Coturnix japonica: one gene and its partner. The protein of the gene in region 2 purifies or fractionates together with the protein of the main gene of each other region. This does not show direct contact. Links are inferred from orthologs where the notes say so. Each region holds a gene or a part of one and is shown on either strand. Other genes may lie near its edges.

Evidence for each region. Proteins that work in one complex are often made in the same cells at the same time.
Region 1: the proteins of CCT2 (region 2) and WDR92 purify together in Homo sapiens (affinity purification with mass spectrometry; 3 studies listed by BioGRID and IntAct, with this or other methods). This does not show direct contact. The link is inferred for Coturnix japonica from reciprocal best matches to the Homo sapiens genes CCT2 and DNAAF10.

What each region holds. Positions count from the first base shown.
Region 1 is NC_029518.1:370,903-378,231, reverse strand, and holds the start of WDR92 (WD repeat-containing protein 92), read right to left. Parts: upstream 3,824-7,329; 5' UTR 3,794-3,823; coding exon 3,605-3,793; intron 3,521-3,604; coding exon 3,420-3,520; intron 3,350-3,419; coding exon 3,219-3,349; intron 2,909-3,218; coding exon 2,807-2,908; intron 2,213-2,806; coding exon 2,097-2,212; intron 1,911-2,096; coding exon 1,776-1,910; intron 1,691-1,775; coding exon 1,593-1,690; intron 1,344-1,592; coding exon 1,136-1,343; 3' UTR 1-1,135. Other genes in the region: RNA-binding protein PNO1, read left to right, coding at 3,890-4,060, 4,135-4,284, 4,576-4,659, 4,892-4,952, 5,243-5,360, 5,442-5,512, 5,701-5,768. UniProt on the Homo sapiens protein: Key assembly factor specifically required for the stability of axonemal dynein heavy chains in cytoplasm.
Region 2 is NC_029516.1:32,199,476-32,206,819, reverse strand, and holds the start of CCT2 (T-complex protein 1 subunit beta), read right to left. Parts: upstream 4,770-7,344; 5' UTR 4,637-4,769; coding exon 4,634-4,636; intron 4,308-4,633; coding exon 4,233-4,307; intron 3,679-4,232; coding exon 3,613-3,678; intron 2,746-3,612; coding exon 2,634-2,745; intron 2,182-2,633; coding exon 2,105-2,181; intron 1,119-2,104; coding exon 1,006-1,118; intron 130-1,005; coding exon 1-129. UniProt on the Homo sapiens protein: Component of the chaperonin-containing T-complex (TRiC), a molecular chaperone complex that assists the folding of actin, tubulin and other proteins upon ATP hydrolysis.

The DNA.
Region 1 (7,329 bases), on a different chromosome or scaffold from region 2:
CACAGCTTAAACCTTAAATATACAAACCTCAGTTGTTTGTTGTTTGGCTTTCTTTAAGCAAACTTCCACCACAAAAAGCTGTCACGTATTTCAGATACCTCCTGGTTTGCTACTCTCAGTCACTGCGCTTTCATCTCCACTGCCTCTTGGCAAATGCAGGATACAAGAGGCTCTGAATCTGAAGACAGCCTATAGCTGAGCATCAGTCTATTAAAAGCAGACTTCCACAGAACTCTGGGCTTGAGAAGCAGGGCACAGCTGGCTCTGAAAAAATACTGAACCCTTATGAGGTTGCCAAAGCATCAGAATACGTTTTAAAAGGGGAATTAGCTGTAGTAGCTTCTGATGCAAGATGATGACCTTCCAAGGACTACATGCTGTTCTTGGGAGTGCGTTTCTTCTCTAAGTGCCAAAGTGTCCCAATAAGATACTTCATTCATATCAAAACAACGCCCCAAATAATTTTATTTGTGGGATACAAAGTTAAAAACAGATGCAAAAATCAACAGAACATTTAAAAAGCTTATTACAAAACCAAACTAAAAGAATAAAACAGTGCATTTTGTGCAAGAGTTTAATTTGGATTCCACCTTCAACAACTTCACACCATTAAACCTGGATATTTAATACTCAATGTAGCTTCTATAGTGTAATAAAGAACTCTCAGTCACTTTAACCAACATTCTAACTCACGTATCCAGTAAGTACAGAGTTTATATGGGGGAGTGTGTAGTATTTTCCACTGCATGAATGCACATGGCCATCACTACATATAGAACAGCCAAACAATTCCACAAGCATTAATGGATTTGCACTGTGGTTAAACTGAACACAAGCAAGTCTTGTGATTTAAGTTACGGGTTGTGTTAATGGAAAGGCACGCTTTACTTTAATGTAAATTCCCATTTCCAGAAGGTAAAACTTTTATGCCTTGGAAACTTTTTCAAGTCATTGCAGCACCATCAAACAACTCTTAAGTGCATGTATCTCAACTTTCAATAGAAAGATCTGGTCTCTATTTCCTTAATCCAGTTCTAAAAAGGGAGAAATTAGATTAAAGACAATAGGTCCCTCCCTCCCGTATGTACAGACGTCAAACTGTATTGCTTTCTCATCAGCAATCCCAGTTTTCCTGTCACACTTTGTTAAGCTTAGTAACTATCAGTACCCTCACAGTTTGGTCAAAGGCACCACAAACACACAGCCCCTTTTTGTCGGGGCTCCAGTCCAGGCTGGAAATGGGCTGTGTTGACAGAGTCACGTTCTGCAAGAGGCTGACAGAACCTGCCACCCCCATCTCAGCTCCTTCCGAGTCCTTCTTTGAGCGCTGAGCCGGGTACTCGCTGGCAGAAAGGAAAGGAAAACTGAGACAAACAGGAATCTCATCCTGCTCTTAAAAGACAGCACAGAAAGGTCTCCTCTGTTCTCAAGATAAGACAAATGTCTTCAAAATAGCGAGCCATCATATCCATCATATCTGAGCTTGGAAGTGAGTCCCCACGCACCATCTTTACAATGATTCTTTCTTTAAACAATAAACAGTTGTTTTGGTTCCTTATTCCCCTGTTATAGAGCAGACAGTGATCACTTACTATTTCCAGAGATGAAGGCTCCCAGCTCCTCCGCTCGTCATAAACACATCCCTGTTCTGCGGGAGGTGCCGAACCTGCCAGATGGTGGATTTGTGTGCCTAGGAAACAACCAGCATTGGACAAAAGTTCTGTACAAACTCCTGTACTACATGTTGCTAAAGGAATGATCCATCTCCCCATTACCTTCTCTGAAACAGAAGCAAAACCTTTAGTTGGGTGCTGAGTCCTCATATCGAAGACATGGAATTTTCCCTCCAGTGACGTGGCCACCAGCTTGTTCATGTTCACATCTTTCCTGTCAAACTCCACACTGCAAACCTGCAAAGAGTGAAACCAATACGTTCAGCCACTGCTACAAGCATATATTTGTGAGTGTGATTTGCAGACACGTATCTAATCATTGGTTATTCTTACAACAGCTTCACCAACTCGGCAATAACGCGATTGCCTGTAAACAGACACACACCACAGCTGGAATGAAGCCCTGCTTCCACAGCACCTTACCCCGTTCTTAATGTTGGTCTCCCATCGCAGTGACATGGCTTTTAAGTCAAACAACTTAATGTCCCCATTGTCGTATCCAGCACATACTACACGTTCCTCTTGATTGTAAGCATTGCCTGGACACAGAGACAGAATTGATCACAACACAGAAACCCCTCTTAGGCTGTAAATTTGAGACCTCTTAAGTCAGCAATTTCAACTTAGATTTATGCCAGCAAAGCATCATATAGTAGGATTTAATGAATTGAGAGCACAGAGTTTGGGATGGACATGGCCTGGGCTCAAGCATCCTGAATTCAAGAGCACAAGTTAAGCATCTCTGCTGTCTTTCGTTAGCTCTGGGGATTGTCTCTTACATTAATGTCTTAATGTCATCAGCAGATATTGGTTCTCCATGCACAATCACAGTTAGACCCCTCCAGGGCAAAGTGGTTTCTTTGCTTTTACATTCCTAGACATAGAAATGTTCAATTCCCACACTAGGGCTGTAAAAATGCCTAAGAATAAAGCTTGTCTGTGAAGTGATTGAGCAGAGATGGTAAGAAAACAATGCCTGAGCCAACTACCACCAAACGTGATGGAAAGACAGCCTTTAAAACACAGTGCAAAGACACAGATGTGATAACACCGAACAACAAACCCTGCCTTCAGTGGTTTGATTACTGTCAACACGCAGTGACATTACAGGGGGCTGTTATCAGACTGGTTACCAAAGGCCACCGTCCAGCAGTCCCTCTTGCTCTCTCCCTGCGCAGGTTCCATGTTGGCAACAGGAGTTTCCTTCTGCCGAGGGTCCCACACCTTCACAGTTCCTAAGGAAAGCAAAGCCATCAGTGTTACAGATGCACTGATGCACCACTCTTGGTTTCCCAGGGAAAGGCAGCCTGACGCCTCCAGACTATGTCAGTGTATAGGAAGAAATGAAACATAATACAAACAGAAAAGCACAGGGAAAGTATAAGATGTCTAGCTGCTATTTTGTATTTGTTCTGCTTTATGTTCCTCCTCTCCAGCTCCCAAAGGAAGCAGAGGAGGCTCATCCCAAAGGGCCGCCCTCCATTTCGGTGCCCACAGCCTGTAGTTCAGGGATGTCACTGAGCAGCTCAGCTCTCTCCCACTCACCATCCCGGCTGCCTGTCACAATTTCTGGGGCACCTTCCCCAATTCCGAGGCCTCCGACCCCATCGATGCAGTTAATGATTTCCTTGTGACCTTTCACGGAGTACACGGGGACTTCAGGAGCTTCTAAGTTCCTATGTGAGAAACAGATAACACAGCGTTGCCTTCAGTAGCCAGGAGCGCTGTAAGGAATCACACACCCACCAGATGCTGAGGCATCCCGCGAAGTCCCCTGTCGCCAGGTGCCGTTGCTGCAGGGAGGCTGCCCCGAAGGTGGCACATTTTATCGGTTTGGCCTTTTCGATCTGCAGATAAAGGACACGGTCGGCACCGTATGAAGCGTTAAACCCCTCGGCCTACGAGGTGCCGCCCCGCATCGCCCCGCTCACCTCGCTCAGCAGCAGCAGCCGCCCGGCTCGCAGCTCGTACAGCTGGATGAGGCCGGTGCCTCGCGGGGCGCTGCCGAGGCACAGCAGGCGGGCGCTGCGCGGCACCCACTTGCAGTCGAACACGGTGTAAGTCAGCGGCTGCTGCACGTGAACCACCACCTGCGGCCGGTCCAGCCCCGCCGCCGACATAACGAGCGACGGCAGCGACGCGGATAACGCAGGAAGCGGAAGGGACGGCGGGACGGGCAGGAAGTGGCGGTGGCTTTTCCGGCGGAGGGCCACGCTATGGAGTCTGAAGCGGATGAGAACGGGAGCGGCTTCACCAGCGTGGCTTCCAAGCGCGGCAGGAGGAAGCGGAGAGCGGCGGCTGCGGAGCCGATGGAGGCGGTGGATGCGGCGGGGCCGCAGCCCAGCAAGAGACCCGCCTTCCCACCGCTGCCCGCCGCGGCCATGGGGGTGAGCGCGGCGCCGAGGCGGAGGGATGGGGCGGACGGGCTGCACGTGTCCGCTCAGCGCCCATCTGTCCGCAGGTGGGGAAAGGGGAGGTGAGGAAGGTGCCGGTACCGGCCAACAGGTACACGCCGCTGAAGGAGAACTGGATGAAGATATTCACGCCCATCGTGGAGCACCTGCAGCTCCAGATCAGGTTTAACTTAAAGACCAGGAACGTGGAGATCAAGGTGAGCGCTGTGCTGTGTGTCCTCACGTTCCTCTCATCCCTCGTGTTTCATTGAAACCCGCCCAACCGGGCCTTGGGCACCTCCAAGGCACCCACAGCTCTCTGGGCAGCCTGTTGTCTTAAGCACAACATACACTACTGGTCTGCGCTTTCAGTAGAACACAATGCGGAGGTGGCATTACACGAACGTGGCTTTGGCTTTCTTTTATACAGCCAGCCTTTATCTCACTGACTTTCCAAGTCCTGATTCCGTTTGCCTGATAACATAGAAACGTATCTTCTCGTTCTGCAGACCTGTGCTGAGACCAAAGACCTCAGTGCTCTGACCAAAGCAGCTGACTTTGTCAAAGCCTTCATACTCGGCTTCCAGGTGGAGGTGAGTCTCCCAGCGGCCGGGTTGTGCTATTGCTCAATATCTTCAAGCACTCTGGACATGACATCAAGAAACAGAAAACTTCAGGGTGGTTTTCTTTAATGTTTGAAGTTAAAACTGATGTTTGATGCGTCAAATGGAGATACGTGACTGATTTGATCTGTTTGGGCCTGTAAAGAACTTGTGTGTGACAGTGCTGCAGTGCTCAGGCTGATGGTGACTCTGAATGTTGCAGGACGCTCTCGCTCTCATCAGATTAGATGATCTCTTCCTGGAATCATTTGAAGTTACGGATGGTGAGTAGTTTCTGCTGTGCTACTCAAGCAGCCATTCACTTCTGAGCACTTCTTTGCTCTTTCCTTCTTTTCCACGTGTGTCACTTTGGGGATCAGGAAAACCCCGATGCCAATACATGGCATAACTGTCTATGGGGAGAACCTGGAGCTGGACACAAGGAGAGCAGCATCTAAAACTGATGTGTTTCAACATGTGTTAATTGCTGCTTTTCCCTTTGTTTGAATAGAGGAAATGTCACGGAGGATACGCAGCACAGCGTAATTGATTGAGTACTTTGTTCTTGTTTTAGTCAAACCTTTGAAGGGAGATCACCTGTCCAGAGCAATAGGGAGAATAGCGGGGAAAGGTGGAAAAACCAAATTCACTATAGAAAACGTAACGAGAACGAGGATCGTTCTTGCTGACTCGTAAGTACTGACATCCTTATCAGCTGTCATCATTGCTGCATTTCTTATATTAACTAATATTGCTTTGACTCCTTTTTACAGGAAAATCCATATTTTAGGATCTTTTCAGAACATTAAAATGGCACGAACGGCAATTTGCAACCTCATTTTAGGTGAGTCCTGTTGCCACTTGTTGCTGTTATATGTGCCGTGAGTGGGACTGACTCAATGCTCACAATAAGATGAAGCTTTGAGCATCTGTCTCACCCAGGGTCAAATTGCCCACACTGACACAGATTTAAACATGAGAGCAGAACAGCGTGTCTGTAACACACGTACTAACAGATACTTTCTCTTGCAGGAAGTCCACCATCCAAAGTTTATGGCAATATTCGGGCTGTGGCCAGCAGAGCAGCTGAAAGATTCTGAGGTGCTGCTTTACCAAAGACTGCGGCTGTGGAAGCACTCGGCCTTCTGCTGGAATGGGAAGCACAGAAGAAAAGTGGGACTGTTTGTGCAGTCTGCATCCTGCAGGCATCCTGTCTGATTGAACACAACCTCTGTACAGCCATTAAAAGCTATTGTAAAAATGATGAAAGGGTATACTGAAGTATATGGGTGCCTGATTTTGCTTTATTCTTGAGCCTAAGCAAGATTGAGAGTTGACTTTCTGATTATCCAATACAAGACCATTCACAGGACTTGAGAAAGCCTGTAAGTCTGGAGCTGAAAGCAGTCAGCAGTGTTACGTGTTCATTACCACAGAGCAGTCAGCATCTGGGTGTAAAAATGAAGCACCAATTGCAGTGCCAAGCATAAGAGCAGGCTGCTGGGAGAGTCTGACACTGCAGCAGTGCACCACGGTGTGAAGGCCAAGAGTTAAACAGTGTATCTGCACTTTGCTTTAGAACCTGCGCTTACCTGGATTCCTGTTCTCATGAGTGATCTGCAGGGCAGCCTGGTAGTGATGCTGAGAACCTCCAGGTAAGAATGTGCCAGCTCTGGTCCATGCCTCGCTTTCCCCTCTAGAGCTCACTGAACAACAAAAAGCCGTGCACTTACACAGTGCTACTGGGTATGTCAGTTACCTCAGTGAGCTCTAGAGGGGAAAGCGAGGCATGGATGTAGGAAAGTGATTTAATCTTCCTCCTAAAGCAGGTGTGTGCTGATACTGACCTGAGCACGGGGCTGCAGAGGCCCACACACCTTCATGGGCTGCCTTTAGGGGGCAGGAATCAACAGGCTATGTGAAAAGCAATGGCAAACAGCTCCTGGGCTGCTTCTGCGAAGGGCATTCACCAACAAGGAGTTCCTGCACCAGCACAGGTCTCTGCTTTGCCTTGAGAGCGTCCCGCTAAGTAGTGAAGCACCCAAAGCAAGGTTCAAATCTTTTATTCCGTATTCATAGAGTATGAAGGTTCTTATAGTTCCCACAACATATGATGGAGCATGCAGAGGAAAAACTAAACATTCAACAGAAATCTTTTTTTTTCCCCACACGAACTAAAAAAAAACAAAAGAAAAACCTCATCCCTCCCCTTCCCATCCACCCTTTATTACCTACCCCCCCAACCCACCGAAGGAAATAACGGTAGCACTAAATAACTTCTCTAACAACAGCCAAGATATGCACAAGCCAGTAAGAGAAATGAAAAGCATTTGCTAAAATGTCTGTAACAAATACTTATGTACAAAAAAAATAATTCACAAAAGACCAGTTCCCCCTCGAAGCAGAGCACATGGCAGTTGACACTGGAACAGATAAAACCACTGGCTGGGATTATATAAGCCACGTACTGATCCAGAGGAAGAAAGTTACACGGTAGTGGAGATTTTTGTTTTGAACATTAACATTTACCAAAGTTTGGCAACATGATTCGTTTAAATTACGCAAATGATGTAAACAAGAGGAACGTTTCCAATCGATCTACATGCAAAACTTCACGTCATGCAAGGACACCAAGCACCTGGATTTCTCTCACAGACAGAG
Region 2 (7,344 bases):
CCCTTCAATCTAAGAACAGCTTCTACAGCCAGCTTGACAAAGTGATCTTTATGATGAGTGAGTAATTTTGATGAGAGAGTTGTTCCTGCAATGTTCATCAAGTCTTCACGGAACTTCACTTCATCATCACTACAATAAAGGCAACACAGCTACATTAGTAGGTCTCAATCTGGCAGCCTTGAGTATCACTAGACTATCACTATCATGGTATTTCTGCTTGGTGTTTTGAGATAATACCCATACTCATTTAGAAACTGGAGAAGCCACAGGTGAAATATTTTTTTGAAGCTGGCTTTAAATTAATTTAGCCTCATTTTTGTTGAAGCGGTACTTTGTTAACTGCTAGTTGTCATTTCTTTTACAACATCAATGCTGCCTTACAGTAATTACCTGCATTTTGCTACTTTGATCAGGGACCACGTTAGCATGTACTATCAGCAACCTGTATGTCAAGATGACACCCATGATTTTTGGCTATGTAACATGGTACAACATTTAAACCTACACTAGTAAGTAGAAATTGGTGCTTCTTCTTTCTATATCAAGGCTATATCTAATATATATATATATATATATTTAATTGCCCTTGCACTATTTGTACTAAAACACTGGACTGGTATTCTATGATATGTAATTTCACTACAAGAATAGTTTAAACTGATTAACAACAAAAACTCTGCACCTGCTTAGAAAAGCCTGTGCAGTCAGGTAAAGAATTCAAAGAAACTTAAAATCAGAGCAAGAGATCTGAAATAACGACTCAGACTTTTGTCCTATGGAGAGAATTACTGTTCATTTTCTGTTTCTGAATACCACAAGCAATTTTCAGTAGTCTTACAAAGCTTTTACAGTTCACCAAACTCAAAAGTAGTCTCTTCCCCTCAAGTATTCATTTATTCTGCTTCTTTCAAACAGCAAAAAAATCCCCAGCATTCTATAATTCTCATTGGTAAGTTTCATTCTCAAATAGTTTATAACGAGCTTCCACAACTCTACATTACTAACCCATGATCCACAGCTGCTTTCAAGAGTGCCTCTCTCGAAGCTTTTGTGGCTGCCCTCCAACCTGCAATGATGGTCTGAGGATGAATCTTCTTTGAAATCAGTAACTCTGCCTCCTATTTGAATAAAATTAATCATTAGCTTTCTTAAACAGAACATTTACATTAACTAGGAAAGATATTTCGGAGTAGTCTGAAGATTCTGAATGCCAGCAAAAGCATCAGGACTATAAAAATGAAGTGAAGACCTGAGAGAGGGAGAACATCCTAGGCACCTTTCCACTCCCCCCCCCTCCAATCCAGGCAAATATGATCTGCCCTTGGAATTAAGTAACAAAACTAATTCTAATATGAATAGCAACCAGACACATGCATCAAAACAGCCAACTCTCACTTGATGTTACACATTGGTTCCTTGTTCATTTAAACCTGTAACTGAAGGTGCAGTGGGGGCTCAGAGGAAAGCAAGGAACACCCTCAAAGTCCCTTTTGCAAGGAAGTCAGCAAGCTGACACACCATTTCTCAGATGCTCCTAATCTCAGATCCACTAACTATGACCATTAGATTCCCCAGTACAGCTTGAGTTCTTCAGTTCTAGGACCTATTTCATAGTGACTTCAAACACAGTGTTTGGTAATCTTCAATCTGCAGTGTTTAAAAGGAATATTACAAATTCAGGTCATGTGCACACAACAACAGAAATTGACAAGGCTGGTTTTTCCCCTCCTGGACACTGTGGAAAAGGATTTTAAAGGAGCCTCACATTGCATGCACTGCTCAATGCAAAATCCAGAAACTGGCCTATGACACAGGAATACTTTGTTTCACTTGTAAAATAAAATAAGGAGAAAGTATTTTTTAAAGAAATGTATCAAATCAAAATACTTGTGAGTCTATGCATTATACCGACTACATCAAAATATATCTAAAATAATACATGAAGACAGTATGCAAGGGTTTTTTCCTACCAGTTTAATGGCAACGGGGCAAAGTATTCCTATCCTTTGGGAGCCCACTTCATAAGCATCAACAACACATCTCCTACTGGCATCCCAGGACTACACAGCCTATATGAAACCGTCTAAAAATGTTAATACATCACCCTCAGCAACTCAGCTGCCAACACTGTGACAGACGTAGTTCCATCACCAACTTCATCATCTTGAACCTTTGACATATCTAAAAGAAAGGCACTGCATTAATGCTTGCATTCAAAACAGACTGAACGCCCCTAGCAGCTATTATCTTCAGCATTTGTACCTCACATGACTTTAAGGAAGAAAAAAGAATTCCACTGCCAAAGAGGCTGTCAAACTGTAACTCAGACTGAAACTGAGATGCAAATCAAACACAACATCATCCTTCAAATTCCCCATCGTCGTTTGCAACACAGACCTGTTTTAGCCTATCAGTATTCAAGAGCCACCCCCCTCTCAACGTGTGCCTAAAGATCATGATCAAAATAAAGTAAGGCCAGACAGATGCTCTCAAGTATAGATAAGCAATATCACAGAATATGTCAATTTTTCACACTGTGTAGAATATTTCTCTATGAAGAAGTTAAAACTACGTAAGAAAGTTACAAGTGAAGAAATTCCATGTATGACAATGACAAACTGTTAGAAACTCACCAACCAAGACCTTGGCAGCTGGGTTGTCAACTCCAATAGCTTTCAGGATGGTTGCACCATCATTGGTCACTGTCACCGTGCTATCCCTCCCAGTACTGAGGAGAATCTTGTCCTACGTGATGCAAGAAATAGAACAGTTTGAAAAAGAACAGTAACTATTAAAACTAAATTATCATACAATGGTGCGAGTTAGAAGGGACCTTAAAAACCATCCAGTTTCAACCTCCTGCTGTGGGCTGGTCGCTGTCCACCAGCTCAGGCTGCCGAGGGCCCCATCCAACCTGGCCTTGAACAGCTCCAGGGATGGGGGTATCCACAGCTTCCCTGGACAGCTGTGCCAGGGCCTCTTTACCCTCAGAGTGAAGTATTTCCCCCTTATAACTAATCTAAACCTGCCCTCTTTCAGAGTAAAAATATTACACCTTGTCCCATCACTACACACTCTTCCCAGCTTTCCTGTAGGCTTCTACACCGGAAGGCTGCACTGAGGTCTCCCTGGAGCCTTTGTTTCTCCAGGTTCAACAAGCCAAGCTCCTTCAGCCTGTCTCTGTAAGAGAGGTGCTCCAGCCCTCTCATCATCCCTGTGTCCTCTACTGGACCCACTCCAATAGCTCCACGCTTTTCTTGTGTCAGGCACCCCAACCCAGAGTATTGCAGGCATGTCCTCTTAAGAGAGAACAGGGGGGACAATGCCCTCCCTCTCTCTGCTGATTACAACTGTTTCAATACAGCCCAGAGCATGGTTGGCTTCCTGGACTACAAGCATGCATTGCTGGCTCATATTCAGCTTTTCATTCAACAATCTATCCAAGTCCTCCTCCACAGGGCTCCAGTCATTGCCCAGCCTGTGTTCATGTCTGCGATTGCCTTGACCCAGGTGCAGAATCTTGCACTTGGCCTCACGAACCTCCATGAGGTTTGCGTGGGCTAAAGCCTGAAATGAACAGGTCTGACCACTGAGGACTTGAAGCTATCTTACCATGCCTTTAGGTCCCAGAGTGCTCTTGACCAGGTCACCAATAGCGATTGCACCAACAAAGGATGACTGTAACAAAAACAAATACACCTTAGAAAATTCTTTATTTCTACTTTAAAACAGTAAGTAAGAGCTAGGCTCTAACTTCCAAGGGGACATCTTAACTAAATTCTTCTACAGGCAAACTCCTTCCAGAAGAATCTGGTTCCAAGTTTCTTAAGTGCTACATTTCAGTAACGTACTTAATTTTTGCAGTAAGCATAAAACCACATAACAGAGCCAAAAGACTTCCAAGGAATAAGAACCTCCTAAGCTGAGATACACAGAATCACAGAATGACCCGGGTTGGAAGGGACCTCAAGGATCATGTAGTTCCAACCCCCCTGCCTGGCAGGGCCACCAAACATACACCTTTACTAGATCAGGTTGCCCAGGGCCCCATCCAGCATGGCCTTGAAAGAAGAACACTGCTGATATGAACAAAACACTTCTACCTTCTGTAACAACAAAAGACAAAACGAGACTACTGAAGCTCTACAGCAGTACACATTGAAAGTAAATTTAAATGTAAAAGAACGACTGTAATTACCCAGAGCATCATTTATCTGAGAGAATAAACTTACCAACCGAGCTGTTTCTGCTTTCTCTTCATCTGCACCTGCCTTGAAAATGTTGACGGGAGCGAGAGAAATGGACGCCTACAGCAGAGAGAGCAGAGAATAGTCCCGGAGCTTTGACAAAACACTGTATTCTAAACACAAATCCCCAGCACTAGCAAGCTAAGATGGCTTTAATACTGAAATCATTCCCGTGTCACGCTTGGTTTTGATAACAAGTACATTAATACTGAATAGACCCGCCCGCGGCCTAACGGGCTCGCCTCGTGCGCGCTCTGGAACCTTCCAGGCCCAACCTCCTCCTCCACACTCCACTCCACTCCCCGCCGCTCCGCGCCTCCTTCGTTCCCTCTCCCCCCCTCGGGTGGAAGCTCCGCGGGCGCGGTGCGGGGCCGTCCGTTGCTCACCATGATGCCGAGGGACACACAGCCGGCTCCGGTACGGGACGAGCTCACACACCGCCACACAGCGCCACAGCACGGCGGAATTGCCGTCACAGGAAGCGGCGGGGATGGAGCCGCGCGGCGCTGTGGGAGATGCAGTCCGCACCGAGGCGGGGGGAGGGAGCGGGATGGGGCAGCCCGCCATTACCTCAATGGGGGCATACAGGAAAGGGACTTGTCACAGAGCACAGAGCATGTACAGCTACTAAGCTGTACACTGAAACAGGGCTCGTTGAGATTAGACATTTATATATGAGGGTGACGGAGCACTGGAACAGGCTGCCCAGGGAGGTGGTGCAGTCTCCTTCTCTGGAGATATTCAAGACCCTCCTGGACACCTACCTGTGCGACGTGGTGTAGGGAGCCTGCTTTGGCAGGGGTGTTGGACTCAATGATCTCTAGAGGTCCCTTCCAACCCCTACAATCCTGTGTGATATTACAGAAGAGCAAAACAGGCTACTAATGCAGTATGCACCCACACTAACAGCAGCACATATTAAAGTAACCCACACGTTATTTTCAATGTAAAATCAATAGTTTATTGCCATGCTACAATTATTATTATTTTTTTTTCCAAATGAAGTTGGCACTGGTAAAGGGGAAAACATCATAATACATAATACAGCTTTAAAGGTGAACATTTGGTAAGCTTTCTCAATTAGGATCGCTTCAAACAAGGGGGGGGGGGGGGGGGNCTGTTTGTTTTTTGTTTGTTGGGGTTTTTTGTGTGTTTTTTTTTTTTTAAGATTAACATGGAATGGCATAAAAATACACTCTTTCTGCATAGTATAATTTTCATCAAAGAAATATGGAATGTCTGTAAAAACAAATTCATCCAACAGGGCAAATGAAGTTTTATAAACAGTTTGGCAATGATACTCTCACTGTTTAGACCTTTTTATATAAAAGAAATAAAAATCTAGAAAGCTACCTTTATACAAAGTTGCTATATTTATGCCTTTAAGTAGGAAAAAAAAAACATTTTATAATGCAAATTAGGACATACAATAATCTTACAATATCATACAATGTAATGACAAGAAAGGAACATACAACGTAAGATTTTGGCCTTTTGTAGAAACACGTATTTCTGCATTTAATAAATGCATTTGTGGCACACTGGTGACTACTGTATTCTTACTCCTACCAGCCAGCACACGTGATAGAACTGTTGTCAGCTGTACTGTAAGGGCAGCTCTGCGGTTTAGATAGAAAACACAGACGATATTTCATGAGACATAAGGTGATGCTGCAGTGGATTGAGATGTAACACGCAAAAAAGGCAACGCCTGCTGGTTGAGACATTGTGGGGTACTGTACAACATTACTGTCTTTCATACCAGAGCATTTCATATACATTCAGTTCTTATGTACCAAAGTCTTACAAGTGAGAACATTTGTCTTCAAGATTTGGCAAATTTCAGGGAAAATACAAAGTTAGTACCAAATATATAATATATTATATATAAAATGCAGGTGTATGATATACACACATATTCTAATGCAAAAAAACTGCATTAATATGGAGTTAAGTTCACTGATATCCACTCCTAAATAACACAACCATTACAAATACAGGTGTAATCCTGATCTTTCACACACTTAGAATCACTTCCTCTTTCATACACAATAGTTAAAGCAATATATATGCAGGTATGACTAAGAAATCAAAACACACATACTAGTCTGAACTCTGACCACAGCAAATAGGATTCCTGTTTTCAGTACATGTAATTAAATATATTTATATTTTTACAGTATTTTTAGACCATTCCTGAAGAACTTGACCAACCAGGTCCTCAGGTGTAACAGAGCTGCTGTCAGCAGAACTCAATCTTGTAGGAACACACCCGGAGGCCCAGACGCAGATATGAATTAGTTGTTTGGCTTCAAGGGATGCTGCACGAGGCCCGAGCACTAGGAAGGCAGATTCCCTGATGACATCAAAGCTCCTACTTTAGACTTCTTGTTCTACTGCCAAAGGGAAGGACCAGAGCAAAGGACGCACCGACCCCAGGCTCTCTGGGCTGCTGGCAAGTGGTTGAGTGTAACCACACATGGCATGGCCCTGGCACTGGGGAGAGGCAAGGTGAGCTTCATGGCACCTTTGTGCTAAGGCTTCTCCAGAGAGCAGAAGAGCTGCTCCTCCACATTCATCTCTTGACAGTTCATTCACCACAGGTCTCGGACGGGAGCTGTGACTGGGACCTCGAAGCATGAAGGGCTTTTGCAGACATGCAGGAAGACAGTCCCTGTTCCAGAGGGCTCGAGCCTATTTCATGATCATATTTTTACAGAATCTCCTTTGTATATACACATTTGCTACATAAAATAGAATTACACCGAAGTAATGGGTATATCAGAAAACAGTGTCACAATGTATGTATATTACCACACTAAATAATTATTAAAACTGCAAGAAAAAATTCAAAATGCCCTTTGTAATATATAAAAATATAGAAATGTCCAAAACTTGTTTCATCAACTTTAAAGGTAACTTTATATCTCATGTTCTATCTGTACACCTACATATTTCCAAACAAAACACTGCGTTAATCTGGAGCAAACACCACATTGGGATAACATCCTCATAAGACATCTGACGACTTACAGCACAACATCACAAGAAATAGCGTACTGATGGTCAGAGTTACAGCTGCTAAGACTTTATTCAC